Linked DNA regions of Saccharomyces cerevisiae S288C. Changing the gene in region 1 together with any one later gene gives a genetic interaction. Each region holds a gene or a part of one and is shown on either strand. Other genes may lie near its edges. The genes, in order: MOT3, GCR2, NAP1 and HOM3.

Region 1 (7,594 bases):
AAATTAATAAAAAGGCAGATAAAGATTCACCCAACTTGTCACCCAAGAGTATTGTTCCAAATGACGGCAGAAAATGGTGAAATTTTGCCAGACAAAACTTTTTCTAAATTAATTGTGTCCACGTTCATGAAAAGCGGGGATTTAGAAGCAATACCTGCCATATTAACGTTTCTAACGAAAAAATTTGACTTGAATATTGATTACGATTTGAGTATGTATATTCTAAAGGGTTTGAAAAGACAATATTTACGAGATATTAGTAACATCAGTAAAGATGCTTGTGAGTACAAGTTACGGAAGGCGGAGCTAATGAATAATGAGTCAATCTTAAAAAACATTCCACAGGGTACAAATCAAGAGAATACAATATCCCATTTGATCAGGGAGATTTTGATCTTTATAAAATGGAAGGAAAAAAGTGATTGTTCTACTTTCTTGATGGTAGAAGATGCTTTTAAAGAATTAGGAACAGAGTTTACTTTACTCGAAGAATTAATAGAAGATGTAAATAAGTTAAAGATAAAAGCCTAAAAAAACGGATGCATTTTATATAATTTTAGCTATACGTGTACATATTTGTAATAAAGTTAAAAGAGGAGACTGTTTAGCTTTGTATTTATTTTTTACTTAATTTCATCCATTTAGGTACTCTATTTAAAGTCTTTTTGATACTTGTAGCGTTATCAGAAGGGCCCTGTGGATTGGATTTATTTATCGTATTAACTGATGGGGTTGTCCTCGTTTCGTGTGTGATTTTTTGTGCGTCTTCCAAAAGATGAGCCTTTATTAATGGGCCATTAGAATTTGAATTTGTTTCAAAAAGCAGCATTGTTTTAGAGCCAAATTCCAGGTCATCCAGTAGCTTCTTATCGTCTTTAGCCAAGGGTTTGAAAGGATGAGATTGGTTTAACGTAAAAGGCATGTTCTCATCGATCAGGAACTGCGACACGACGTTATAAACTGTACGCATGTCTTCATTGGGTTTGAATGCTATTTGAATATGGCTTCTATCGGGGAACTTGACTCTCAGCAAACACTCAGATATAGCCTTATTTTTCTTTGGCAAGTTGTTGGCTGATTGCTCTCTAAGTCTCTTTGTCAAAATAGGACCACCCAAAGTACCAGCCTTCGATGATAACATTTTTTGGTATTTCTTGGCTTGTTCTACTGTCAATTCATAATCTTCTTCATCCTCGATTTGATCCTTGATAACTGCTAATGGCTCATCCGAGGGCAAAAACACAGAAGGTTTATGTAGTTCGTGAGGTGGTAGTGAAGCAACCGTTTCCGGGTTCGTCATCGTAGGGGGAGTTTGTTTTGGGTGAATAGCGCTATTAGCGCTAATGCCCTCAGAATGAGATGTATTATTAAAAATCAATCTAACTGACGAAGGCTCCTGAATCCCTAAATTTTCGAGAGTCAAATTCTCATCCTTAATTGTTTTGAACTCTATTATCTTGGAAAAGACCTGGATCTTAAAATCATCTCCCGCAGCGCCGCTCATCTGTCGCAAGATAGGGGCAATTGGTTGGTCAGATGGCATTTCTTTAACCACGGAATCTCTTCCTGGGATTTGAAACCGTATTTTGATCGTATTGAATGGAATATCTTCGCGGTTGGTCTTATTCGCCACCGGAAAATTACTACTTTTAGATAATTCTAAGTTGACACCCGTTGGTAAGTTTAGAAGCCTCCATGGCAAATCTAATGGCACCGGTTTATCCAAATGTATCAATGACCAGTCGTTTGACGAGGTGTGCAGTTGAAAGAATTGTATGGATTGGTGTAACACATCGTTTAGTGTTGAATTCAACGAAACTTTACATTTGAAAAGTTGGAAGTTATACTTCACGGTAACCATAGGCATTGTATTGTGCGCTTATTAGTCTGCCTTGCTATTCTTCGCAGTACGTAGATTTATCTTAGTTTTTGCATTTTTTGGTTTTCTTTTTTTTTTGCCACACATAGTACAATAAAAGAGAACTTGAATCTTTGAAGAAACGTCTAAATTAACATCGAAGATAGAAGACAGGGAAACATCTAGGATTGCAAGAAATAGTGCTGAAATTTTGTAATAAAGTTGCAAGAAATAGCATCTAGCGTTTTATAAGGCGTACATCTTTCTTGGCAAGAGTTCCAAGAGAAAAGAGGAGCAAAACAGCGGTTGAGGCGCCCGCTATCTTGAATATTATACAGTTTCTTTAAAAACGCTTGTACAACACTGCATAAACATGGACAAATTATTGAAATTGTTTCAAGATATTTCCCATATCATATTCCAATAGCGTTACTCTCTCATCGCTTATTCTGGAATCATTATTTTAATAAAGATAACTCACACGATATACGTGTACTGAGCTGACCTTTATACCTACCCTTACCTGCTTATTCCTGATAAAAATGTTCGTGCAACTAATTGTTTGATTTCTCTTGCGGCCCGGTTATTCCGGAGTTGATACTTTTTTTCTTCTGTCTTAATTACGTTTTTTTCCTCTAGACTTTTTTGATCTGGTACAATTGAAAATGTATAAATCAACTGGACCCTAAAAATAAAAAAAAAAAACGCCCATTAGAAAAGAGGATATATTGAACAAAAGATGTTGAAAGAGCCCTCAGTTCGCTTGCGGGAGGCTATTATTGAAGGCAATTTACTTATAGTGAAAAGATTATTGCGACGGAATCCGGATTTGCTAACCAACATAGACTCAGAGAACGGATGGAGTTCATTACATTACGCCTCATACCATGGAAGATACCTTATATGCGTGTATTTAATTCAGCTGGGGCACGACAAGCATGAACTAATAAAAACCTTTAAAGGAAACACCTGTGTGCATTTAGCATTAATGAAAGGGCACGAGCAAACCTTACATTTACTTTTGCAACAATTTCCGCGATTTATCAACCATCGCGGAGAGAATGGTAGAGCCCCCATCCATATAGCATGTATGAACGATTACTACCAATGTCTGAGTCTGTTGATAGGAGTTGGTGCTGATTTATGGGTAATGGACACTAATGGCGACACGCCGCTGCATGTATGCCTGGAGTATGGCAGTATAAGTTGTATGAAGATGCTTCTCAATGAAGGTGAGGTGTCCTTGGATGATAATGTCAGGGACAAGGGAAATTGGAAGCCAATAGATGTAGCACAAACGTTTGAAGTAGGTAATATATATTCAAAAGTGTTAAAAGAGGTGAAAAAGAAGGGGCCACCGTTGGGTGCAGGCAAAAAACCAAGTTCATTCAGAACTCCTATACTAAATGCGAAGGCCACTTTCGAGGACGGGCCTTCCCCAGTTTTAAGCATGAATTCGCCATATTCGCTCTATTCCAATAATAGTCCGTTGCCGGTATTACCAAGAAGGATATCAACGCATACAACAAGCGGTAACGGTGGGAATCGGAGGAGTTCTATCACAAATCCAGTATTCAACCCACGAAAACCAACCTTGTCTACGGACAGTTTTTCGTCAAGCTCAAATTCCAGCTCGAGACTAAGAGTGAACTCCATCAACGTCAAGACTCCAGTAGGTGTGTCGCCCAAGAAAGAGCTTGTATCTGAATCAGTACGACACAGTGCAACACCAACAAGTCCGCACAACAACATCGCGTTGATTAATAGATACTTGTTGCCTAACAAGAGCAATGACAACGTGAGAGGAGACTCACAGACAGCTACAATCAACGATGACGGTGGCGGCGGCAATGGCGGTGATGCCACTATAGGAATGGGACTAAGAAAGGACCCGGACGATGAGAACGAGAACAAGTACAAGATTAAGGTAAACAATGGCGAGCCGAGGAGACGAGTGTCACTTCTGAACATACCCATCTCAAAATTAAGAAATAGCAATAACACGCGTGCAGAAGATTGAGAAGACTACTACGTATTTTTTTTTATATGCATCCTTTTTTCCACATATGTATGCGCGGTGCGCGCGCGCCATTAAAAGATTTTTTTCTTAGCTCTTTTTCTTTTTTCTTTTTCTTTCCACTGAGATGCGTTCTTCGGTATATAGTGAGAACACTTACAACTGTATACGAACATCGAAGGAGCACCTAACAGAAAGAAGGAGGGTCGCCATGGCGCCAATGTTCCAACATTTCTTAAACTTATGCGTGGAAAAATTTCCTGAATCCATCGAGCACAAGGATACAGATGGAAACGGTAACTTCACCACCGCTATTTTAGAAAGGGAGATTATCTACATCCCCGAAGATGACACTGACAGTATTGACAGCGTTGACAGCCTCAAGTGTATAAACTACAAGCTGCACAAATCTCGCGGCGACCAAGTGCTGGACGCCTGTGTGCAATTGATAGACAAGCACCTGGGCGCCAAGTATCGCCGGGCCTCGCGCATTATGTACGGCAACAGGAAACCATGGAAGGCAAACAAACTCGCAGAGATGAAAAGCGCCGGCCTTGTGTATGTCTGTTACTGGGACAACGGCGTGCTAGGTGCATTTACTTCATTCATGCTTACAGAGGAGACGGGTCTCGTCGAAGGTGACGCTTTACACGAGGTTAGCGTGCCCGTGATATACCTTTACGAAGTACATGTAGCTAGCGCGCACCGCGGGCATGGAATCGGTCGGCGGCTACTGGAGCATGCACTGTGCGATGGCGTAGCTCGACACACCCGCCGCATGTGCGACAATTTCTTCGGTGTAGCACTCACCGTATTCAGTGATAACACTCGGGCCCGGCGACTATATGAGGCGCTTGGGTTCTACCGCGCTCCGGGATCACCCGCACCAGCATCACCCACAATTCGTCACACGCGACATGGTGGGGGACGTGTAGTCGTGCCCTGCGATCCGCTTTATTACGTATATTGCCTTCACATGCCGTGAAAGCCGACAGGGACAACGCGCGATAAAAAAAAAATTAAAAGTAAAACTACGTACGCGGCGGCGCGACTCGAATCCTTGACTCCGACTGAGGAGACCCGAACAACGCTCCCTGCTCTCCGCCTTCGGCGCCTTCCGATAACTGCGCACGGCAAGGAGTAGTGGCGATAACGGTGTTTATTGCCGGTTTTTTCGTTTTTCTTCTTGATTTTCTTCTTTTTTTTCCTCAAAAGATGTGCTGTAGCCTCCGCTGTTGTTTTTTTTTATCCTACCAAGGCGCATCATCCTGTCATGATCTGCGCTGGATAGTATTTATACTACTACTCCGTCTGGATTTACTAAACTTTGTCTCTCTTTTGATGTAAAGTTAAAGAAGAATTACGAAAAAAGAGAGAAAAAATAGAAACAAATAATAGGAATTAAGGCCTTGTAGCAATCAAAAAAAAAAAGAAAAAAAAGGAATTTTTTTTGGAAGAAAACTTGAACAAAACAATTCCTCAAGAAGGAACAGGTACAAGAAAAGATTTAACAGAAGGAAAACTAATAGGCAACAGTAGGCAAATAGTAAAGGGACATATCATATTTGAGCAATGAATGCGGACCATCACCTGCAACAGCAGCAGCAACAGCGACAACAGCATCAACAACAACAGCATCAACAACAACAGCATCAGCATCAGCATCAACAGCAGCAGCACACGATATTACAAAATGTGTCGAACACTAACAATATCGGCAGCGATTCGCTGGCGTCACAGCCTTTCAACACGACTACTGTTTCCTCTAACAAGGACGACGTTATGGTGAACTCTGGGGCAAGAGAACTTCCAATGCCCTTACATCAGCAGCAGTATATATACCCTTACTATCAGTATACAAGTAATAACAGTAACAACAATAATGTGACGGCTGGTAACAATATGTCTGCGTCGCCGATTGTCCATAACAACAGCAACAACAGCAACAACAGCAATATTTCTGCTTCTGATTACACTGTCGCAAACAACAGTACTAGCAATAATAACAATAATAATAATAATAACAACAATAATAACAATAATATTCACCCAAACCAGTTTACTGCGGCCGCAAATATGAACTCAAATGCTGCAGCGGCTGCTTATTACTCCTTCCCCACTGCGAATATGCCAATACCGCAACAGGATCAACAATATATGTTCAATCCTGCTTCATACATAAGCCATTACTATTCAGCAGTTAACAGCAATAACAATGGTAATAACGCCGCTAACAATGGCAGCAACAACTCTTCTCACTCAGCCCCAGCCCCGGCCCCCGGTCCACCCCATCACCATCACCATCATAGTAATACACACAACAACCTCAACAATGGTGGTGCTGTAAATACAAACAACGCTCCTCAGCACCATCCAACGATAATAACGGATCAATTTCAATTCCAACTACAACAAAACCCTTCTCCAAATTTGAATCTCAATATTAACCCGGCACAACCTCTGCATCTACCTCCTGGTTGGAAAATAAACACTATGCCGCAACCACGTCCTACGACAGCACCTAACCATCCCCCTGCGCCGGTGCCTTCTTCGAACCCTGTGGCCTCGAACTTGGTTCCTGCCCCATCATCAGACCATAAATATATCCATCAATGCCAATTTTGTGAGAAGTCTTTCAAAAGAAAATCATGGTTGAAAAGGCACCTATTGTCACACTCGCAACAAAGACATTTTCTATGCCCTTGGTGCTTAAGCAGGCAGAAGAGAAAAGATAATCTTTTACAGCATATGAAACTCAAGCATACAAATTATTTATTAGACGAACTCAAGAAAAACAACATCATCTTTAACTACAACAATTCTTCCTCCTCTAATAATAACAACGACAATAATAATAATAATAACAGCAATAGCGCTAGCGGCAGTGGCGGTGCCGGTGCCGCGGCGGCAGCAGCAACAGCTCCCGAAAATGAAGATGGAAACGGTTACGATACAAACATCAAGACTTTAATCAATGATGGTGTACTGAATAAGGACGACGTTAAACGTGTTTTGAATAACCTTATTGTTAGTCACAACAAATAGATAGACTTTATAGACACACAAAATATCCCTTCCCACTCATTTAACAATCAAGATAATAGTAATAATCACAAATTTAGAAAGTAATTATGCATATATACATTATATACATATAGTTTATGTATGGTACGGAACTGATTACAACATCTCTCTAACAACGGCCTCGTGAGGGAAATCGTCATCTGTAGGATTTTTGATAATGTTCGTATTCTGGAACTCTTGGTGTTTAGTATATGCTACCGCATAACTGATTGACGATATCGTTAGCCCGACAGCTACCACAATTAGACTCGTAGCCATCACTGCAATGGAAATATACTGGATTATCGCCATTGCTAGATAGAAAAGACATCTCCATCCATTTGTTTCAAATCTCTTGATGAATTCAATGAAATTATCGCTAAGGGGACAGATTTTCAACAAAAATGGTATTTCAATGAATAGGATCACTAACCCTTGGATTATACTAATGATACCAAAAGCTATCACCCCACTAACGTGGAACAGATTCGCTATCCCGAGTGCAATACACAAGATTATGTTGATATATCCAAACCATCTACCATATACGCTAAAGTTGAAACTTTTCAAATCCTTCACCATACCACCCACATTGATGAACTGTCCTAAACTTAAAGCCATTATTGAAAACTAGTATATTTTAGTTGTTATTGCTC
Region 2 (7,753 bases), on another chromosome or scaffold:
ACGGACACTCTTCGTCTCACGAACAGCGCTCTGGAATTTTACCAACTGAATGCCCAGGCCCTACTTTAAACACCGGTGCCGGTAGCATCGGTATCCCGGGATGTGGCAAAGTCACAAATAGAGTGGTCAGTGACTATAACAAAAACGCTAGGTCTACGCTAGCCAATTTTGATAGTAGTAAAATGACCGAGGCAAGAATGAACAGCAAGAACGTGCCGATTGGTTGTCAAGACACCTCTGATCCGCACTTCAATGGGCCTATCGACCAACATGTTCCCGGTGCAGGTTCACCTCAAAGTCAACCTCATCACATCGACGCGTGGAACAGCGTTTCTTCTCGCCGTGCCGATAATAACAACCAAGACATGATGGACCCCCAAACGGCTTCCTCAGACAGGTACAATGAGAAAATGATGAGAGAAGAAAATAGCGGCGTCTCTGCTTCTTCTTACACCACTAAAGTGCAGGGATATCCCGCAAGTATTCCATCATTCAATCAGGAAACTGAGGAAAAGGAAACCTACGCCTACGGTGTGGGTGATCGGCACAATGTCCCAAGAAACCAAATTATGGATGAGACTAATCCTTCGGCTAACGTTCTAAACGCTACTGATCATAGTATTTCGCACCCTGAGAATAAGGTCTTGCATAAGTAGTTTTTGTTTTTCCTACAGTTTTTATTTATAACCAACCTTATACTTTTATATCCTTGTCTACATATTATTGTCATAACGAATTTTTTATTGGTTAAATGCAGCTATTGCGTTCTCTTTATTGCATAAATATATTCTATTACAATATGGGAGGGCATTATCAGCCTCCATGTGCTTGCGTGCTGTCAAAGAAGGAGTGCGGGGATGACAATATGAATAGCCGCCGAAATTATGCCCGGCTGCAGTTGACCGTATAAATAACAGTGCTTCAATGAAAGGACACAAAAAGCAAGATCGTCCCATTTTCTACCTTAATCAGTATAGTAAAAATCAAAAACATAATATATTACTGTTATGATGAATAAAGTAGATCAAATCATCGGTTACAAAAAGTACGAAGTGAAACTACCAAAAGATCGACAAGTAAAGAAAAATAAATCAAAAGGTGGAAATGTTGATCAAATAGATACTAAGAGGGAAAAGGATAAAATGAGAGCTTTTGGTGAAGAAAGGAAAAAGTTCTTAGATAAAATGGCTAAAAACAAAAAAAAAAATACAAGTAGAAAAGATAGAGAGAAGCCAAAAGAAGTAGAAAAAGAAAACTACAAAAGAGAAGACAAAAGGCTAAAAGAACAGAAAAAATTATCACTGGCAAAAGAATTTCGTTTCAAAGAACCGAATTCAGAAGCCATTAATCAGAACACAGCAGCTGAAAATGGTAAACCTAAACCACAGACTGGACTAGATTTTGACATAGACCATCAAACCGTGTCCAAGATCATGATAGATCAGGCTATTCAAACATCTAGTCCTCTTAATGTCCAACTCACGGAACTTTTCAATGATAACGTCCTCGACGTCTCGAAAGATAGTCAGTTTGTCCTTCAAGACATGGAGTTCACCTCCTGGGAACGACGCTGGTCAAACTGCAGCACGACCAGTAATGCGACTACGGTCTCATCAGTTCCTGATCCCAAATATAATATCAACTACAACGACATAACCTCCTTCAATTCAGTAGCGCTAATTACCGAAGATCTTAACATATCTGCATCATCTAATGGTCTGCATGAGAGAGGTAAAAAGCTACTGCAGCAAGAGATGGAATACTCAAACAAGGTCAAAAATGTCACCATCGGGCTTGAAAGATTGTGTATGGATGAAAAACCAGTCCCAGATGCAGGAATAACCATGCAACAAGCGTCGCGCTGGTCAGAATTCCCCACTTGTTGCGATCAAGCTGCTATTTAGCTTTTCTAATTTAAAAAATTTATAAACTTCTTATAGTATTTCATCTTTATATCAAATACTATTAGCAAAATAAAAGGAAAGGAAAGGGAAAGGAACTTCTTTAGACTGCTTCGCACTGATTCTATCGCCATCCTTCTTCATGTTCTCAACTATTGGATATCTGCTCTATTTAGAACAATCGTTATTGTTACCCGCGTTAAATGGGGTAACTGATTGCTGCTTTTTTTTCTCGTTGTTTTGGACCTTTTCGGACATGAGAGGTCAAAAGAAAAAACAAACACGACCAAGTAAGCCGGAATAAACAAGTATAACCACCTGATTGAATTGCCTTCTTTAAACAAGCACAGACCTCCAAAAAGAAAAGGCTTTTGAAACGCTGCTCACGCACAGTTGTTTATTCCGTCCACATATTTTACGTGTCAGTTTCCTTTCTGTCTTCTCTTTATTCAATCAATTAGCATTAAAGAGAAAATAAGTCGTGTACTTTGAAAACCTTCTGTTCCTGTTTTCTTCCCGTATTTTTCATTTGCTTCACCAGCTTTTTCTCAACTGATCATATCATTTCAAGTTAAAAGTCTTTGTCATCACTTTTCTGTGAGTTGCAAATATTTGTAAGCGTCACTTACCTAGAGCAGCCTTTATCGATCAATATTTCAGAGGGAAAAACCTGTATCTCTTAGCATGCAAAGTTCAGTTTATTTTGACCAAACAGGGTCATTTGCGTCCAGTAGCGACAACGTTGTGTCTAGTACCACCAACACACACAACATTTCTCCCAGTCATCGTTCCAGTTTGAATCTGAACACTACTTCTCATCCCCACGAAGCGTCGGGTAGAGGAAGCGCAAGTGGGGAGTTGTATTTGAATGACACAAACTCACCCTTAGCGATATCTTCTATGCTAAACACACTTGCCCTTGGAAGTATGCCCCAAGACATTGCAAGCAGCAACATTAGCAATCACGATAACAACATTAAGGGGAGCTACAGCCTAAAATTGTCAAATGTAGCCAAGGATATTACTCTCAGAGAATGCTATGCAATCTTCGCTCTTGCTGAAGGTGTGAAAAGTATAGAATTACAGAAAAAAAACTCTTCATCAAGCATCACTTCTGCCTCATTAGAAGACGAGAATGATATTTTTATCATTGCCAGATTTGAGTTATTGAATCTAGCTATTAATTATGCCGTTATTTTGAATTCGAAAAATGAACTCTTTGGACCCAGTTTTCCCAATAAAACAACCGTTGAAATAATAGATGACACAACAAAAAACTTGGTTTCATTCCCATCATCTGCCATTTTCAATGACACCTCAAGATTGAATAAATCGAACTCGGGAATGAAAAGGCCAAGTCTGTTATCACAAAGATCCAGGTTTTCATTCAGCGATCCATTTTCCAATGATTCTCCTTTAAGCCAACAGCAATCTCAACAGCAGCAGCAACAGCCACAACAGCCACAACAACACTCTACGCAAAAACATTCACCACAACAATGTAATCAACAACAAGTGAATTCTTCAATACCGTTATCTTCTCAAGGCCAGGTTATTGGGTTACATTCTAACCATTCACATCAAGATTTGTCTGTGGAATCAACAATTCAAACATCTGATATTGGCAAATCTTTCCTTTTGAGAGATAACACTGAAATTAATGAAAAGATATGGGGCACAAGCGGTATACCTTCCAGCATCAACGGTTACATGAGCACTCCCCAACCTTCTACGCCAACTTTAGAATGGGGAAATACTTCTGCATCCCAACATGGTTCTTCGTTCTTTTTACCCTCTGCAGCATCGACAGCCATTGCACCTACGAATAGCAACACCAGTGCCAATGCAAACGCCAGCTCCAACAATGGAGCCAGCAATAATGGTGCTAACCAGGCACTCTCTGCCAGCTCGCAACAACCAATGATGCAAATTGGTAACACGATTAACACTTCCCTAACCTCTTCAAATTCATTGCCTCCATACGGTTTAATGTCTTCTCAATCGCAGCACATTTCAAATATGGTAAACACCTCTGATATGAACATTACACCTCAAAAACAGAACAGATTTATGCAACAACCCCAACCAGAGCATATGTATCCTGTGAATCAAAGTAACACTCCTCAAAAAGTACCGCCCGCAAGATTAAGTTCAAGTAGAAATTCACACAAGAATAACTCTACTACCTCATTATCCTCAAATATTACTGGATCTGCCTCGATTTCTCAGGCTGATTTGTCACTACTAGCCAGAATTCCACCTCCTGCCAACCCTGCTGATCAAAATCCACCTTGTAATACCCTTTATGTAGGGAATTTACCCTCCGACGCTACTGAGCAAGAACTAAGACAGCTATTTTCTGGTCAAGAAGGCTTCAGAAGACTATCATTCAGGAATAAGAATACCACATCTAATGGTCATAGTCACGGACCGATGTGCTTCGTTGAATTCGATGATGTCAGTTTTGCAACCAGAGCGTTAGCTGAATTGTATGGTAGACAGTTACCTCGCTCCACTGTGAGCAGTAAGGGAGGTATCAGATTAAGCTTTTCAAAAAACCCACTGGGTGTTAGGGGCCCAAACAGCAGAAGAGGAGGCAGTGGTAACCCAAATCCTAATGTAAATATGCTTTCCAGTTACAATTCTAATGTTGGTCATATAAAAAACTAAAAAAATGGTTCCGCAAAAACCTGATTTCCTTGCATGTATCACATTATATGCATTGCTTTTCATCTTTCCCCCACTATAATAAGAATAATATTTTCTGTCGCATTTTTTCTTTTTCTTTTATTATTTGTTATAATAATATTTTCTAAACCGACTAATAATAAGAATAACATCGATAATACTTTATCTCTTCAATTACGTTAAATTATCTTTTTACTATTACATTACAACGTGCATATAACAGAAATTTTTTCTTTTTCTGTCTAACATTTGAATTGTACTATGAATTAAACCCGCCATCTTTTTTCTTAACTACCATTTTGCGAACTCCTATACCGCTTCTGCAACAACAAGAACTTTTATTTTCAATTTTAATGTGCCATTCATTCCATTTTGCTTGCGCTAATGTGAATAAGATTGAGAGGGAAAAGTCTCACTATCGAATATCGCTCTTTAGTGTGATTATTGTCATCAAAGCACCAAGTGCTTAGGTGAGGTCATATCCGACAAATGTTTTGAAGAGAGAATATCTTTTTTTTATGCTGCCAACTTTTATTCTTTCCTTGTTTAAAAAACTCTGCCTTTGGATATTCTCCCACTATATATATGTATTAGCCTTACTTTTATTCCAGAACTCATTTTTATAGAAGTATATATCGGTATCGACTTCAATGTAATATTTTCAACCCTATGCTACAAGAGCAGATTAAAAAAATATGGGCTACCAGTGGCAAGAACATATTTGATATTTCGAAGTTCTACTTTGTTTATGACCGAACTGATCAATTTTATGAATGTCTTTCAATGGAATCTCAATACGGGTAATAACGTCATATTTCTTATTTTTCTTGGACAATTTGTCCAAAATAAAATTTTCACGACTTTTCTCCTTCAAGTACCGCGACTTCTGCGATAGTTGTCCGTTAGACATAATAATCATTAACGCATCCATAAGGTGCTTGCGGTCTGTATTTGACTTTCTTCACATTCTTACGCCTAGACTGAATGGGAAAACAACCAAGAAACCAAAAAGGAACCTGAGAACACAAAGAGTATTTGACGAAAAGTTACACTCACATAATGCATCACCAAACTAAGTTAGATGTATTCATAATCAGAGCTTATAATTTACTGTCTAACGAGTCTGTCATTAGTGGTGCTTCCTTGCAGAGTGTTACAAACTCGCCACAGACGACAACGAACACGCCCTCAGGTATGGTTAACGGGGCGGTTGGAACAGGGATAGCTAATCCAACAGGGTTGATGGGGTCTGATAGCACACCTAACATCGATGAGATTATAACTAGCACTGGTAGTAATGCTCTGACGAAAACCAACTCAGATAGCGCTAATGGTACGCCGAATGGTAATTCAAGTTCTACCTCAGCCATTAGCAATGCAAGCAATCCTGCCACTACTGGTAATAATGCGAGCTCTAGTGCCACCTCAAATGGAATATATACGCAAGCGCAATATTCTCAACTTTTCGCCAAAATATCAAAACTATATAACGCTACACTATCATCTGGGTCAATTGACGATAGATCAACATCACCAAAATCGGCAATCGAACTATATCAAAGATTTCAACAGATGATTAAGGAACTAGAGCTGAGTTTTGACGCAAGTCCTTACGCAAAATACTTCCGCCGGTTGGATGGAAGGCTTTGGCAAATAAAGACAGACTCAGAATTAGAAAACGATGAATTGTGGCGATTAGTCTCAATGAGCATATTTACAGTATTCGATCCTCAGACCGGCCAAATTCTAACTCAAGGACGCAGGAAGGGAAACTCCTTAAATACATCAACTAAAGGCTCCCCATCAGATTTACAGGGAATAAACAACGGGAACAATAATGGGAACAATGGTAATATTGGAAATGGGAGTAATATTAAGAACTATGGAAATAAAAACATGCCAAACAACCGAACGAAAAAAAGAGGCACCAGGGTGGCTAAAAATGCTAAAAATGGGAAAAACAATAAAAATAGTAATAAAGAGAGAAACGGCATTACAGATACGAGTGCATTCAGTAATACAACAATAAGCAACCCAGGTACCAATATGCTTTTTGATCCATCATTGTCTCAACAGTTACAAAAACGACTGCAAACGCTATCACAAGATGTCAATTCTCGTTCGTTGACAGGATATTATACACAGCCAACCAGTCCTGGCTCAGGAGGATTTGAATTTGGTTTGAGTCATGCAGATCTGAACCCCAATGCTTCCAGTAATACCATGGGCTATAATACAATGTCCAATAATGGATCCCATTCGTGGAAACGAAGGTCACTGGGATCGTTAGATGTTAATACGCTGGATGACGAAGCGGTGGAAGAACTTTTGCAACTGACAAATACGAGTAAGAGGCAGAGGCCGATGACAACTGCAGCAGAGGGTGCGTTAATAAATGATGGTCCGGACACTAATTTAAACGCGAATAACACCCAAATGAAAGTTGATTTAAATCCTTCAAACAGCATGGGACCTATAGATACAGAAGCCGTGATACGCCCATTGAAAGAAGCTTATGACGCAATCATTTCTGAAAAAGGCCAAAGAATTGTGCAATTAGAAAGAGAATTGGAATTACAGCGCCAAGAGACGCAGTGGTTAAGGAAAATGTTAATTGAAGACATGGGTTGTGTTAGAAGTATGTTAAGGGATTTACAAAGATGACACGATAATAATGTTTAACATATATTGCTTTCTCTTTTAATTTTCTGGTGTAGATTGGCGGTATAATTAACTATTTAACAGTGACGTTTACTATCTTACTGTTTCTTGTACTCTTTTATAATGAACAGACGTTATTATATAACTACGAACTAATGATAATTCTTTTTACGTTATTCCTGATGTAAAGGATACAAAATGGGTTTCTTTATTTTGCAGCAGAACCGTAAAATTTACGCTACTTTTACCGTGGGTCCTCTTATTTGATTGTTTCCGTCGCTACGAGCGAACAAGGGGTGGAGACAATAGGGATGGTGAATATATACACATACGTTCATATATAAGAAAAAAACTCAAGAAGAATATCAAACGACCAGGATCCTTGCTTATATTATTGTCTGTTGCTGGGCCAACACATATTTTCATTTCAACACACCAATCTCAGGTATTAAAGAGAAATCATTGTAAGGTAAAAATGTCTACGTTGAAAGTTGTTTCATCAA
Region 3 (7,440 bases), on another chromosome or scaffold:
GCTCTTCGGATTCGCCATCATGGTCTGTTTCCTTTATATCGTCTTCGTGGGTGATATTTTCGTCATCTTGTCCACTATCGTATAGTCCCAACGATTGCTCCTCATAAACATTCGTTCTTCTAATGGAAATCGCCAGCGGCAGGACCGAAACGTACATCATTAGCATATAAGACACCTGAATGGACGGGTGTAATTTACTTAAGTCAACAACGTTGAATCCAGCAGTTCTTGTGCATACAGACTGGAAGAGGCCCATGAGAGCTCGATAACCTTTAGCAACCTGCCTTACTACAGCGGAGTTGAAATCCAGAATTATGAAAAGAATCCAATCCGTAGCGTTTAAGACGACTAAAGTTGTAAACAGCCACCATGTGGGGCCGCTGGGGAACAGCAACGTAAAACACCTGCGCGGATGATCCAAGAGAAACCCAAGACTTTCCTTAAACTGAGATAGGTCTCTCGAGGTCTTGAACATGATCCAAATGATAAATCGTAACATAATTGGGAAGCCTGTATTGCCTATGATGATGAAGAACATCATGAAAATCAGCGGATACGGCGCAGTATCAAAGGAAACCATTGAATCAGCGGTCAAAGACAGACCCAAGTTGCTGAATGCACTCATTGCAGTGAAAAACCCCCACCAGGTTGGAGAAACTCCATTTCGTCTAATAATCTCTGAGTAGTGGTGCCTCGTACAGGCCCATGGAACGATGGTCACAAACGCCAAAATGTTGAATCCGATGTAGTATACCATGAGAATGCAGCACAGCAATCTCAAAGCACGATATTCGACACCGCCGAGTTCCTCCTTTTGTTGCTTTGTGAGTCCAATGAAGACGGAGTTTCTGCCAAAGGTTGGCTGCCACGATAGATAGTTGGTGCTCATTGTTCTGGTGAAGGGGTGGCCTATATCACCTTCACGTCGTTTTGGTTTGGGCGGGTGCGCTTGGAACTGTAAATTCAAAGACTCTTGCGGTGAAAAGCTCATCTCCTCATCAACAAAAGATGAAGGCGCCGACTTGGCCAAGTTTCTATGATTTTCAACTACTTGGCCTGAGGTTTTAGGACTCGGTGAAGCAGTATACGTTGGGATGTTACATGATTGCGTTCTAGATATTTTTTTCTTCTTGGTGACCATATATTTGTGAGGAGCACCGTCAAAGTAGTCATGGTCACCTTCATCTCTCCGCAAGCCAAGCAATTTCTGGAAACTTTTCGTCTGGGCTAGCTTGTTCAATTCCTGAGAAGATGGCAGGACAGAATGGCGTTTCAGTGAGCAGTGGGGGGCTCTTCTCTCATGACGTTCCTGCACAATGAAAGCGGGTCCATTGGTCTCGCTCGAAAAAGAATCCGTGGAGTTTGCGTTGCTCTTCTCTTGTTGTTTTTGTAGCATCATTATCGATTTGTAAATGTCTCTTGGGTCAACGTCTGAGGGTTGGCGCTTACTTGAGAAGTTTGGAGGCGAGCTTTGCGTGTCACTGGATTCCTCCTTAGAGGAGGAAACATTCAACGGTGAGATTGAGGACAATGCGGACGTGTCAGGAGAGTCCATCGGCACATCTGAAGCGGATTGTCGTGGGTCTTCTCTGGAAACAAACTTCCCACGGAACAGGTTGTCCTTGAAACTCCTACTTCGAGCGGCATTGCCACTGCTGCCCGATAGTTCCCTTTGTTGCAACGTCATGGTCCTTCTTAGTTTAAAATTCTGTTTGGAGATATCCCTAATGTTGTCGAAGTACCTTTCAAACCAATACAGCCTGACAAAGGCCAAAAACCCATGAATAAGTATAGGCGTGGACAGCAATGTAATGACGTACACCACTATCTGCTGGTACAGGTTGAAATCGTTAGTGCTCTTGGTGGCCAGCCCGCCCTGTGTAGACGCTCCAGCAGCCAGAAATAGCACATCGATGAACGCCGTGTTCTTGCACGGATATAACAGAATGGACCCGATAATCGACAGCGTGATCAGGTAGATATAGTGCACCACGATGAAGTTGGGGAAAACGTATTTAGCAATGGGTCTGCATGATTTTAAGAACCCGGAAATGAAGTCTCTTAGCCGATGGCCCCATGATTTCTTGTGCACCAACCGTAACTGGAAGGGCAGTGCCAACGAAGCCCTGGATGACGTCCTCTTAGCTGTTGGCATGAGTGGTTCTTACAGCCTCTTATCGTCGGTGAATAGTACAAAATAGCCTCTTTTCTCATCATCTGAAACCTAGTTATTCCAATATCATTTCTCTTTTTCAGCCGCACGGCCGAGGGGATTAGAAACGAAAATTCACATCTCATCCTATTCTTCGCAGGAGATCAAAAGTGAAAGAGAGAAACGGGAAACAACCATCTGAGCATGGCAGCTTGCATCAAATTATCAATCATCGTGTGATGTACCATGGCCTATTCAACGGCGGTACGCTTGTACTACAGGGCGCTTTCAGCGCATGCCGGGCACTCCCTTCTTTCTTCCGTCGTCTTGCATCTCTCTAATCCCGTCGCTATGCTCTGATATAACCGTTGCCAAAGTGTCAAGCTGTTGTGAAATTGTGCTGGAGGCATTGATGGTTCTTGAACTCTTCCTCTTTTTAGTCTGGCTTTAGCTTGATTGGGCACGGGCACTCAATGGACGGGGTATCCACCCAGCTTGGAAAGGGGCATATAAAACCAAAAGAGAACGTTAAGAAAAGTGCAAATGAAAATAACAGACCGGGAGATCGCAAACGCAAACGCAATAAATGTCGTTTTGGAAAACATTGCAGAGACAGCCACGTACCATCTCGTTGTTTACCAATGACATCGCGTCCAATATCAAGTCGCAGAAATGCCTGCAGTTGCTGAAGGGAGACGTCTCTCATCGATTCGACGTGGAAATCGCCAACCGCTTTCCCACGTGGGACCAGCTGCAATACATGAGAACTTCGTGCCCGCAAGGCCCAGTTTCGTTGCAAAGGCAGATTCCAAAGCTGGATTCAGTGCTCAAATACAAGCACACAGACCCGACGTTCGGGATGGACCTGCAGAAGTGTGTCCAGAGGGGACTTTGGAATCCAAAGGAGGCGCTTTGGGTCGACTGGGAAAACAAGTTGGTGGGAAATGAGCCCGCAGACATTGACAAGTACATCATTCAGCGCAAATAACACCTATATACCACTATATTGAACACATACATATTTTTATAACAATGGGCTATATCTTTTTTGTATTACCCGCGTAATTGGGAAAATTTTTCCTTTTAAATAGCAGCGTTTGGGATCAAAAATGGCAGTTTGATGGTAGATTAGGAGGATTTAGTGAGCCCAGTGGGACCAAGAGCAAAGCGCAAGATCATGTCAGACCCTATCAGAACGAAACCCAAGTCGTCGATGCAAATCGACAACGCCCCTACGCCTCACAATACCCCAGCATCGGTTCTGAATCCGAGCTATTTGAAAAACGGCAACCCAGTTAGGGCCCAGGCACAGGAGCAGGATGACAAGATCGGCACCATCAACGAGGAGGACATCTTGGCTAACCAACCCCTGTTGTTACAGTCCATCCAGGACAGACTTGGCTCGCTGGTGGGCCAGGACAGCGGGTATGTGGGGGGTCTTCCCAAGAACGTTAAGGAAAAGCTGCTGAGCTTGAAGACTTTACAAAGCGAGCTATTCGAAGTTGAAAAGGAATTTCAGGTGGAGATGTTTGAGCTAGAGAACAAGTTTCTGCAGAAGTACAAGCCCATTTGGGAGCAGCGGTCCAGGATCATTTCAGGACAAGAGCAACCCAAGCCGGAACAGATCGCAAAGGGCCAAGAGATTGTGGAGTCACTCAATGAGACGGAGTTGTTGGTGGACGAAGAAGAGAAGGCCCAAAATGATTCCGAGGAGGAACAGGTGAAGGGAATTCCCTCATTCTGGCTAACCGCATTAGAGAACTTGCCCATCGTTTGCGACACGATCACTGACCGCGATGCGGAAGTTCTGGAGTACCTGCAAGATATTGGTCTGGAATACTTGACGGATGGTAGACCCGGTTTCAAGCTGTTGTTCAGATTTGATTCTTCCGCCAACCCATTCTTCACCAACGACATTCTGTGCAAGACCTACTTCTACCAGAAGGAGCTCGGTTACTCCGGGGACTTTATCTACGACCACGCAGAAGGCTGCGAGATCAGTTGGAAGGACAACGCCCACAACGTCACTGTGGACCTAGAAATGCGCAAGCAGAGAAACAAGACCACCAAGCAGGTGAGGACCATCGAGAAGATCACTCCCATAGAATCCTTTTTCAACTTCTTCGACCCTCCCAAGATCCAAAACGAAGACCAAGACGAGGAGTTGGAGGAAGACCTCGAGGAACGTCTAGCTTTAGACTACTCCATCGGGGAACAACTTAAGGACAAGCTAATTCCTAGAGCCGTGGACTGGTTTACCGGCGCAGCCTTGGAATTCGAGTTCGAGGAGGACGAAGAAGAAGCGGACGAGGACGAAGACGAAGAAGAAGATGATGATCACGGCTTGGAGGATGACGACGGGGAATCTGCCGAAGAGCAAGACGATTTTGCTGGCAGGCCGGAACAGGCTCCTGAATGCAAGCAGTCATAATCCCAACGCACTTCGCAAGAGTGGTCATAACCGTATTCATATATTTATATACATATGTATACATACATATATAGATATATATATGTATATACATGTAAGTGTGTAAGCTGAAATATATGTTAAAGCGCATGTAACTAAGACGACAATAATAATAATAATAATGATAATAATAGCCTAGATTTTCTCCGCCGTGGGGGATGATCGTATTCTTTCGGATTTAATAATATAGCAGCAAGGGTTATAAAAGGAAAGATAACGGAATGTATCGGTAATCATTAACCATCACTCACTCTCCAGAACCGTAGCGTAATTATGTCTGAATCATCTATTTCTTCTTCTAAACCATCTGTGGAATTGCCACAAGCAACCTGGTCGCATCTGCAAAGATACCCAGCTTTATCCAAGTTTATTAAATATGCGGAATCTCTGCCACCTGTGGAGAGATTGATTTCCTTCAACCTCGTTGTTTTGGGATCTGTGAACCAGTGGGTTTCCGAATCGTCCAGCTCTCCTCGTCTGGTGAAGCAAGTTGTTGCTGCTGGGAAGGAAGGGGCCTTCAAGTTGGACGAGTTAGTTAACCTCTTGGTGTTCAAGGAGGGTGTCGACGGCTTGCTGTACAATTGGAAATCACATTCCAACACGCCAGGGATCTGGCTGGTGTGGTTCTTCGTCGACTACGTCGCCAACATTTCTAATACTCTGTTGAGGGAGTTCCTGATCAAGCCATTGCACTTGCAAGGTTCTACCGCATCGAAGGAGATCGGCTCTTCCGGTGAGGAGAACAAGGTCACTGATGCTTCTTCTTTGCCCCACGTGGCAGAGTTGTCTTCAACGACCAGAGGTATGTCGCAGGAGATCCAGTCCAAGGTCAAGTCGAACTATATCGACCCAACCAAGGACCTGGCTAAAGAAAAGTACGACGCCATAGTGAAGCCCACAACTGACAAGTTGCAGTCTGTGTACATCGACCCAACAAAGACTAAGCTTAACGAAACCTACCAACGCTTCACCACTGTCTATGAAAACAATCTAAGTAAATCTGAAAGCGTCCCTAAAGCCATTGTATCCACCGGGTTGGACTTGGGCAATGCCACCATTGAGAAGCTAAAGGCCTCAAGAGAAGACCAAACCAATTCTAAGCCCGCGGCTGTGTCGACCAATTAGTAATTTGGTTTTGCGCTAATCGTGCGCCTGATTTTTTTTCCTGCCACTCTTATATAGTTATTTGTTATTATTCTATTATTTCATCTATTGTTTGCTAGCTATTATGTACGTTGCTGTTTGAGCACTATATACAATTGAATACCAAAGAAAAAATTATAAAAACGAAAAAAAAAAAAAAAAAAAAAAATTTGGTTATAGCTCGATCAAGAGACAATAAAAGTGAATATACATGGTGCCAAGGGAAAGTCCTAGCATGTCAAACAGTCATCATACATCCCAGGGAAGAAGAAACAAACTTTCAGTGTGGGTTAAAAAAATAATAAACACCACTACCACAACTAACGCATCGGTCTCGAGCAGTAAACCAAGACGCGGCACTAGGGCTGGCCCCACAAGAGTTAAGCGTGCTGAGTTGGATCCGGATGGAACAACCATCAGTTCGTCGTTGCGACCATTGGTTGATCGAAATTCGTTGCATTCGAGCGAATCCGATGACGAAGGAGACCGTCGAGTGGCATGGGATGAACCACCAACAGGCAAAGTAAGACAGCAGCAGCAGCAACAGCAGCAACAACAAAACGACAACGCAAGTGTTATTCCGCTAGTATCGTTTTGTTCCTCGTCAGTGAAGTCGTCTACTTTCTCGGACATTCATTCAATACAGTCTACGAGGCCCACAATATTCTCTAACAGGACGTTTGAGACGAATTCTAGCGTTCTGGCCATCCCACCACAGAGTATATTGGATCGATCAAGAACCCTCCCGCCGTCGAACGCAAGTAACACTACCACAAGAAGACCGTGAATTGGCTACCTAAGATGAACGTCCTATATTGTATTATTTGTGTATGTATGTATGTGCGTGCCTATGCAATGCTACATGGGCAATAGCCCCACAGAATGCGAGCCTGCCCTTTTTCTTCTGGATCTAATTTTTTTGAACCTTCTTTGGAAAACTCTTATGCAAGCAGAAAAAAGATAAATGCCCATGATCAATAGCAAAATCTCGCTATAATGCCATATGGTCAGCACGACCTTGAACAACCGAGAGTGAGGATTGTTTGAAGTTTTCTGTTCAGCTGACTGTGACCCAGTCTTGATGTTTGGTTGAGCTTTGATCATTTTCCATTTGGTGAACTCATCGGGTTCCCTGTCAAGGACCTCGCCAAATTCCTGCTCCAGGAATAGCTCAGCTTCCTTTGCGTAATCATAGGTGTCCTCAATGGACGCATCCATGTCGTTCCAATGGAATTCGCTAGTGGATACGTCCAGCAGCTCCACTGTCTCCGTTAATTGGCCATTTAATGCGCTACAGCCAATGTATCTTTGCCCCGTGTGCATGTTTTTCGGCAAGTACAGATTTTCGGTTGTTTGAAATAACTCAATCCAGTAGTTTCCCTCTTTTGCGTACTGCACGTCGATCTTCAGGAAGCTTATACTTTCCAAATATATTATTCTTAGTTTCGTGACTCGATTCCACAGGGCATTTTTCTTGAGTTTTATGTGGCCTCTTGAATTAAGCCGCAGCGATGTACTGAGTTCACCATCACTATTTATATCGTACCAATCGCTTTCTGGGGCCACATTTATAAACACATCCATAAAGGGTACCTCCTTATGGTCGTGGCCTTGGTTGCGATACGTATCCAAGACAATAAATAGGCCAGGCAGATTTTTCGGGAAGCCCATCAGA
Region 4 (7,482 bases), on another chromosome or scaffold:
ATATCTCACAAGAAATCGGGAGCCGATCTTCGATGTGTGTGGGCGTATATACAAATGTGCATTCGGCACGTAAAAGACTGGTAAAGGCTACCGTCCTTCAGTGAGCATTTTTTACATTCATTCAACGCTATACAGCTCTTACTGTGCGACGGAAACGCGACAAAATGTGAAGAGAAAACTAGGGGTTGCTATGACACGACCACGGAAGGCCTAAAAAGTTAAGTGACAGAAATCGTCATTGGTAAAAAAAACCCCGAACATGCCGATAAAGACTTGCTTATTCACCTACGATGACTTCAGAAGTGCGCCTATATTTCTTTACTTTTGAACACCCTTCCACCGCCCATTTAGAGAGAGCTATTTTTGTGCCTTCACTTCCGGCAGAGGTTATATTTTTTTTTTTTTTTTTTTTTTGCATACTACTCCTACTTCTTTCTACAGTCTCATCCCGACGCTTCAGTTTGAAATGTAAGGGACTGCGGCATTTGACTGAAAGAAGGGAGAATGGATGGTTTACTTTACTTTTTACGTAATGAAAAAAAAAATGATTGCTGTATTAGGACATCCCTGTTCTTTTATGTGGTAGCCTATATCCGATAACTGTTCAGCTATAAGACGTGAAGAGAGATTTTTTGGTACCCCTTATGCATTCAATTAAATAGAGAATTAGATATTTCTACCGATGTGCATTTTGTATATAAAGAAGTAGGAATCCCTTCTACAACGACAGAGGTAGACATACTGCTTGGAAACATTCTTTTCGTCCTTTTACAGAATTCTACATAGAAATAATAAAAACAAACAATAGCTTTACTACACAGTACACACTACAATGCAAGATTTAGAGATTTTTTTGAGTATTTTCGCTTTCATTTTCGTTTTCTACTTTGGTGCTCATAGAACAGTCATGAACAGAAACAAGAGCGATGTTCCTTACTTGCAGTGATTTAAATCAGCTAATCTGCTTACTGCCGCCAAGAGAGGTATGCAAAGTCAGTTCTACCTAGTCTGGCTTAGCGTTTTACTATTTACGAAGTTGATGTTCTGTTTTCTAATTTATCTTTTTTCTACTCATTCATTTCCACACTACACTTAATATTTTTTCAATAATTTTCGATGTTTTTAATCCGGTTTTCTATTGATGAGCGCCTTCTTAGCTCATACTTAATACACGTTTTTTAAGATTTATACGTTTGACAGCTCACGCTGTTTGACCAAAGTTATTTTCATTTTTATGTTCGTAATTATGTATTTTTGCTATTGTATATGATATACGTCTATATTTAGGCAATTATAATATGATTATAATATAACTTACTACATCTCTAAAACATGCTGTCTAGCCCTTCCATCGCAAGACTCGGCTAGACATTCGAGGAAGGCACAAAAAGCCACCTATCCCCATCTCTCCAAAAAGCTTCATTTCGAAAATAAGAAGGGAAACATCCGAATAAGACTAAAACTTTGTTCCTTCAATGACTACTAAGTTATTAGATGTCAGAAATCCCGCAAAATCGCCCGCATATCAAGGTAAGCGGCAAAACCCTATTCTTGAAAAAATGTAAATACTAACCGTGTGAGAATTTTAACGGTGTATTCCAAAAAGTCAGCACGTGATCTGCTAAGAAATCCGAACCTCGGCCTTTGTTTTTTTTGTTACAGCATAGGGAAAAGACGCATTGTGTCAAAAAGGAACATCGTACCATTACCCTCTCAGCACATAGGTAATAAGGTGACAAGTAGCAAGTGAAAAGTACCGCTTACGAAGAATACTTTAATTCAACGTAGATACTGCAAAATATTCAAGTCATTATTTTTGGCCCTTAACTTGCCTTTCCAGTTCTTAGATTCATTCATATGCTAGCTAGCAACAACGGTCACTTTGGGTTGCATTTCACAATCTCATTCGGCTAAGATCTCGGCTAACCAAAAGTTGGACTTCAGGGGTATTAGCGAAATAAGGAGATCTTTTTTAGGTTTATTCCTTGTTTTTAGTTTCATTTTGCTTAATAAAAAGGAAAATGGATATATCGATTTTCTGCATACCCTGTTACATTTGATATAAATACAGCGGGACCTACCAAATATACTTTCATTTTGCTTGTGTTTTATAGATATTTTATTTTTTTTTCCAGGCAGTCAATGACACATTGTTAACTGAAAGTGTTCTGTTATTGTTTTAATTCTAAAAAAATAAAGTAAGGGAAAAAGAGAACGGACTCATTGACAGTTGTAAAGCATGGAGTCCAATAAACAACCACGTAAAATCCAATTATATACGAAAGAGTTTTATGCCACATGTACCTTAGGTGGTATAATTGCGTGCGGTCCAACACATTCTTCGATCACTCCACTAGATCTTGTCAAATGTAGGCTACAGGTCAATCCCAAGTTGTATACTTCAAACTTACAAGGGTTCCGTAAGATTATAGCTAATGAAGGCTGGAAGAAAGTATACACTGGGTTTGGTGCTACATTCGTCGGATATTCGCTACAAGGTGCAGGTAAGTATGGTGGTTATGAGTATTTCAAGCATTTGTATTCTAGTTGGTTAAGTCCTGGTGTCACTGTGTACTTGATGGCCTCAGCGACCGCTGAATTCCTCGCTGATATCATGTTGTGCCCATTTGAAGCTATTAAAGTGAAACAGCAGACTACTATGCCGCCCTTTTGCAATAACGTTGTTGATGGATGGAAAAAAATGTATGCAGAAAGTGGAGGTATGAAAGCATTTTATAAAGGTATTGTTCCCCTATGGTGCAGACAGATTCCTTACACAATGTGTAAGTTTACCTCATTCGAAAAAATTGTTCAAAAAATATACAGTGTTTTACCTAAAAAGAAAGAAGAAATGAACGCATTACAGCAAATATCAGTCAGTTTTGTAGGTGGTTATCTGGCAGGTATATTATGTGCTGCAGTCTCACATCCTGCAGACGTTATGGTTTCCAAGATCAATAGCGAAAGAAAGGCCAACGAGTCCATGTCTGTAGCCTCTAAAAGAATATATCAAAAAATTGGCTTTACTGGGTTGTGGAATGGGTTAATGGTGAGAATTGTCATGATCGGTACTTTGACAAGTTTCCAATGGCTAATTTACGATTCGTTCAAGGCTTATGTAGGCTTACCAACCACCGGTTAGCTGATCGATTCAATCGGCAAGGTTTATCGTAAACACTCTGTGCTAGAGGAATATTGTATACACAGGATTTCATAAAGTTAGTAAATGACCGGCATTTATAGTTTGTTCTTCTTTGCATATGTCTTAATAAATATTCGTCCTACAATTTCTTTTCATACTAAGAGTTTTGTTATGATTGCCAAATTTCTCAAGCCAAGAACAGGCCCAGGAAAACTTTGAAAGTGCCATATCAGAAACACATTTATAAGGTAGTTTCGATATACGGCAATACTCGATGCATGCCCAAACTTGCCAGCCGCTCGCGATTGAATCTTCTACAATTTTTAGGTGAACATATTCAGAGGCTGAGGCCTTATTTGATAGTAACATCAAATATCACTCCCACAATTTACAATCACTGTCATTGGTCTCACAGGATCCTTTTCTTTCTAGAACTCCCCTAATATCAACTTTTTACTCTACTGTGGCTCTAACCACGTGTATTTTTCAGGCCCATGACTCACCTTTTCTTTCTTTTTCACTAGCAAACGAAAATTTCATCATCACTTTTTTTTTTTTTCACTTTCCGTACGCAGTCTTCTCCAGAGATTCTTTTAGCTTCGAAGAAATAATGTATAATATCCATATATAAGAATACTGCTGGATAATTATTTTATTTCTATTTTAACAGTGCTCTACTCATTGAAGGATATTTGTGTAGCCAATACTCTCTCCATCGCTTAAGCTCACATAGCTATCGCATTTTATCACAGAAGCTTTCATTTTTTTTAACTTTTACATGCCAATGGATTTCCAACCTACATCAAGTCATTCGAACTGGGTCGTGCAAAAGTTCGGTGGTACATCTGTCGGTAAATTTCCCGTCCAAATAGTGGATGACATTGTGAAGCACTATTCTAAACCTGACGGCCCAAACAATAATGTCGCTGTCGTTTGTTCCGCCCGTTCTTCATACACCAAGGCTGAAGGTACCACTTCTCGTCTTTTGAAATGTTGTGATTTGGCTTCGCAAGAATCTGAATTTCAAGACATTATCGAAGTTATCAGACAAGACCATATCGATAATGCCGACCGCTTCATTCTCAATCCTGCCTTGCAAGCCAAGTTAGTGGATGATACCAATAAAGAACTTGAACTGGTCAAGAAATATTTAAATGCTTCAAAAGTTTTGGGTGAAGTGAGTTCACGTACAGTAGATCTGGTGATGTCATGTGGTGAGAAGTTGAGTTGTTTGTTCATGACTGCTTTATGTAATGACCGTGGCTGTAAGGCCAAATATGTGGATTTGAGCCACATTGTTCCCTCTGATTTCAGTGCCAGCGCTTTGGATAACAGTTTCTACACTTTCCTGGTTCAAGCATTGAAAGAAAAATTGGCCCCCTTTGTAAGTGCTAAAGAGCGTATCGTTCCAGTCTTTACAGGGTTTTTTGGTTTAGTTCCAACTGGTCTTCTGAATGGTGTTGGTCGTGGCTATACCGATTTATGTGCCGCTTTGATAGCAGTTGCTGTAAATGCTGATGAACTACAAGTTTGGAAGGAAGTTGATGGTATATTTACTGCTGATCCTCGTAAGGTTCCTGAAGCACGTTTGCTAGACAGTGTTACTCCAGAAGAAGCTTCTGAATTAACATATTATGGTTCCGAAGTTATACATCCTTTTACGATGGAACAAGTTATTAGGGCTAAGATTCCTATTAGAATCAAGAATGTTCAAAATCCATTAGGTAACGGTACCATTATCTACCCAGATAATGTAGCAAAGAAGGGTGAATCTACTCCACCACATCCTCCTGAGAACTTATCCTCATCTTTCTATGAAAAGAGAAAGAGAGGTGCCACTGCTATCACCACCAAAAATGACATTTTCGTCATCAACATTCATTCCAATAAGAAAACCCTATCCCATGGTTTCCTAGCTCAAATATTTACCATCCTGGATAAGTACAAGTTAGTCGTAGATTTAATATCTACTTCTGAAGTTCATGTTTCGATGGCTTTGCCCATTCCAGATGCAGACTCATTAAAATCTCTGAGACAAGCTGAGGAAAAATTGAGAATTTTAGGTTCTGTTGATATCACAAAGAAGTTGTCTATTGTTTCATTAGTTGGTAAACATATGAAACAATACATCGGCATTGCTGGTACCATGTTTACTACTCTTGCTGAAGAAGGCATCAACATTGAAATGATTTCTCAAGGGGCAAATGAAATAAACATATCCTGCGTTATCAATGAATCTGACTCCATAAAAGCGCTACAATGTATTCATGCCAAGTTACTAAGTGAGCGGACAAATACTTCAAACCAATTTGAACATGCCATTGATGAACGTTTAGAACAATTGAAAAGACTTGGAATTTAAATCCACCTTTCTTCTTCACTTTAATGATAGAATATTAATTTTCCCTTTATATATATATATATATATATATACGCGCACATATATTTACATATATATTAATGTTTTGTAACCTATATTGGGGCGATTATTCCCTAAATGTAATGTCAGGGTTATACTGTATCAATTGCTAAAGTAGATCTCATTCATCGAGAGCATAGGATGAAATAAAAGATACAAGAACGTGGCGGACAAGAAGAAATTTTACGAAATAAGATCGGCTAAAGCTTTCGCTAAATGCTTCTTTGAAGTGAAATTTAACGGCTTGTACTTAACTTCAGGTTTTATAACGTATGCATGAAGTGATTGAATTGCGCAATTAGTGGTCCTGGAAAGCAAATCCCCATCACTGACATCACTAGTGATTTTATTTTTATCAAGCGCAAGATACTCGCATAATTTACCCATCACTTGATCAAACTTCGGGAAGGTAAATCTTCTAGGAACCTTTGTTAACTTTTCAATTTCCACAATTTTAAGGTGTGTCTCCAAATCACGGATGGTTAAAAAGTTGCCTCCAAATACCAAAGAGTCTACTGGTGTATAAACTGCATGAATATATCCAGCTGGAATCATAAACAAATCACCAGCATCTAATTCCATCGCAATACCATCCTCAAGAATATCACCGAGGAAAACACTATTTTGGTCTTCTTTTAAAGACCACTCAATATACTTATCTATGTTTGATTGGGTAGGTGGAAATAATAAAAACTTCTTCTGTCCTGAGATAACGTTATAATAAACAGAGGTACCGGCAAAATCCAAATGAAAATCCGTATAAGCATCCTTTACAGACATCAAAATATATTTGGTCACTTTTGGCTTGGGGTCATTCTCCTCCGCCTTCTCCCCATTGACTTTTTCTAAATGTCCATTGAAACTCCAAATTTTATCAACAAGATCATTCTGCCTAACTGCAGTGGGCCTCTCTAGTTCTAATCCCTCAATATTAGAGACTTCTAATGATATAACATTCCTTATTCGATCCCTCCTGTCTGGTTCAGTATTTGTAAAATATTCATTCCAAGATCCCAAGTTCCAATTTTCATTCATTTGTGATTGAACGTCCATTACATCAACATGATAATCCTCGCCTATCATTTCGGTGATATAATTAACTGTGAGGCATCCATTGTCTGTGCCCACATTCGGTACATATACTCCGCTATTCAGTGGATCGATGATCTTGTACGGCACATCTATATTATCAAACTTTTCAGCAAAGTCAGCGGCGTTTATAATATTTGAGCCATTTTTCCATTTTTCAAAAGATTTCATGAAACTCTCCTTATGAGGGTGATTCATTTTATCCCTTTTCGATTCACCCTCATTCAAAGCGATATAGTCAAGTAATTTCTTCTTTCTGAAATTATACCGCTTATTTATATGACTATCTTCAGGGTTTTCTTTATTCCTTTGCCGCTTTCCTTTTTGTGTGATGAGAGCGTATGCGGTAAGATATTCTCCTTCCTTATGATTAGGACAACGGTAGCTCTTGATTTGCTTCGCAGAATTTGGATAAGACAGAACTTCAGAACTTGTAAGATTTGAATAGTGAATGCGTTTCAAAGGCACGCATTTCACGTGGACCCACTGCGGGCAACTATCACACTTCACCCAAATTAATGCGCCTGGATTATCCTTCAACTGGCAATGCTGGCAAATATTGGGATCTTGCATTGCACCATAGCTTATTAGTATTTTGTTTTATGATCATTACGTCTTCTTACTCATTATAATCACCCACTTCTATTAGATGTTCTATTATGCCTTTAAATTGCATTGTAGGGTAACCTGTTGGGGGAAAAAATATCTAGGATTACTTTACATACTTAAATATGAGTCCATTATTAACAGTGTTACAGTTCTAACCAAAAAGGCAAGGTTCTACACAAAACTTCGGATGTTCAAGATGAATGCCACCACAGGCATAAAAATT

Evidence for each region.
Region 2: mutations in MOT3 (region 1) and GCR2 together harm fitness more than expected from each alone (negative genetic interaction), as found in Saccharomyces cerevisiae (3 studies listed by BioGRID).
Region 3: mutations in MOT3 (region 1) and NAP1 together harm fitness more than expected from each alone (negative genetic interaction), as found in Saccharomyces cerevisiae (3 studies listed by BioGRID).
Region 4: mutations in MOT3 (region 1) and HOM3 together harm fitness more than expected from each alone (negative genetic interaction), as found in Saccharomyces cerevisiae (3 studies listed by BioGRID).

Annotation. Positions count from the first base shown.
Region 1 is NC_001145.3:403,707-411,300, forward strand, and holds MOT3 (Mot3p), read left to right. Parts: upstream 1-5,447; coding exon 5,448-6,920; downstream 6,921-7,594. Other genes in the region: SOV1 (Sov1p), read left to right, coding at 1-531; UBX4 (Ubx4p), read right to left, coding at 617-1,867; AVO2 (Avo2p), read left to right, coding at 2,598-3,878; NAT4 (N-terminal L-serine N(alpha)-acetyltransferase NatD), read left to right, coding at 4,003-4,860; TVP18 (Tvp18p), read right to left, coding at 7,056-7,559. UniProt on the Saccharomyces cerevisiae protein: Transcription factor that affects the expression of a large set of genes. Recognizes and binds to the consensus sequence 5'-[CAT]AGG[TC]A-3' in the promoter region. Plays a major role in the repression of a specific subset of hypoxic genes (e.g.
Region 2 is NC_001146.8:264,426-272,178, reverse strand, and holds GCR2 (Gcr2p), read left to right. Parts: upstream 1-5,648; coding exon 5,649-7,253; downstream 7,254-7,753. Other genes in the region: YNL195C (uncharacterized protein), read left to right, coding at 1-656; SLZ1 (Slz1p), read left to right, coding at 1,008-1,904; mRNA-binding protein WHI3, read left to right, coding at 2,586-4,571; NNR1 (NADHX epimerase), read left to right, coding at 7,726-7,753. UniProt on the Saccharomyces cerevisiae protein: Transcriptional activator required for the expression of glycolytic genes. Enhances the CT box-dependent transcriptional activation of a RAP1-GCR1 complex. Required for GCR1 phosphorylation.
Region 3 is NC_001143.9:522,530-529,969, reverse strand, and holds NAP1 (histone chaperone NAP1), read left to right. Parts: upstream 1-3,329; coding exon 3,330-4,583; downstream 4,584-7,440. Other genes in the region: TRK2 (Trk2p), read right to left, coding at 1-2,155; FMP46 (putative redox protein), read left to right, coding at 2,739-3,140; PLN1 (Pln1p), read left to right, coding at 4,896-5,747; YKR045C (uncharacterized protein), read left to right, coding at 6,001-6,552; UIP5 (Uip5p), read right to left, coding at 6,624-7,440. UniProt on the Saccharomyces cerevisiae protein: Acidic protein, which assembles histones into an octamer (in vitro). Involved in the regulation of the localization and the function of the septins during mitosis. Involved in the function of B-type cyclins.
Region 4 is NC_001137.3:254,397-261,878, reverse strand, and holds HOM3 (aspartate kinase), read left to right. Parts: upstream 1-3,920; coding exon 3,921-5,504; downstream 5,505-7,482. Other genes in the region: YER053C-A (uncharacterized protein), read left to right, coding at 833-946; PIC2 (Cu/Pi carrier), read left to right, coding at 2,240-3,142; JHD1 ([Histone H3]-lysine-36 demethylase), read right to left, coding at 5,745-7,223. UniProt on the Saccharomyces cerevisiae protein: Phosphorylates aspartate, the first step in the biosynthesis of amino acids that derive from aspartate (the aspartate family of amino acids), including methioinine and threonine, the latter of which is a precursor to isoleucine.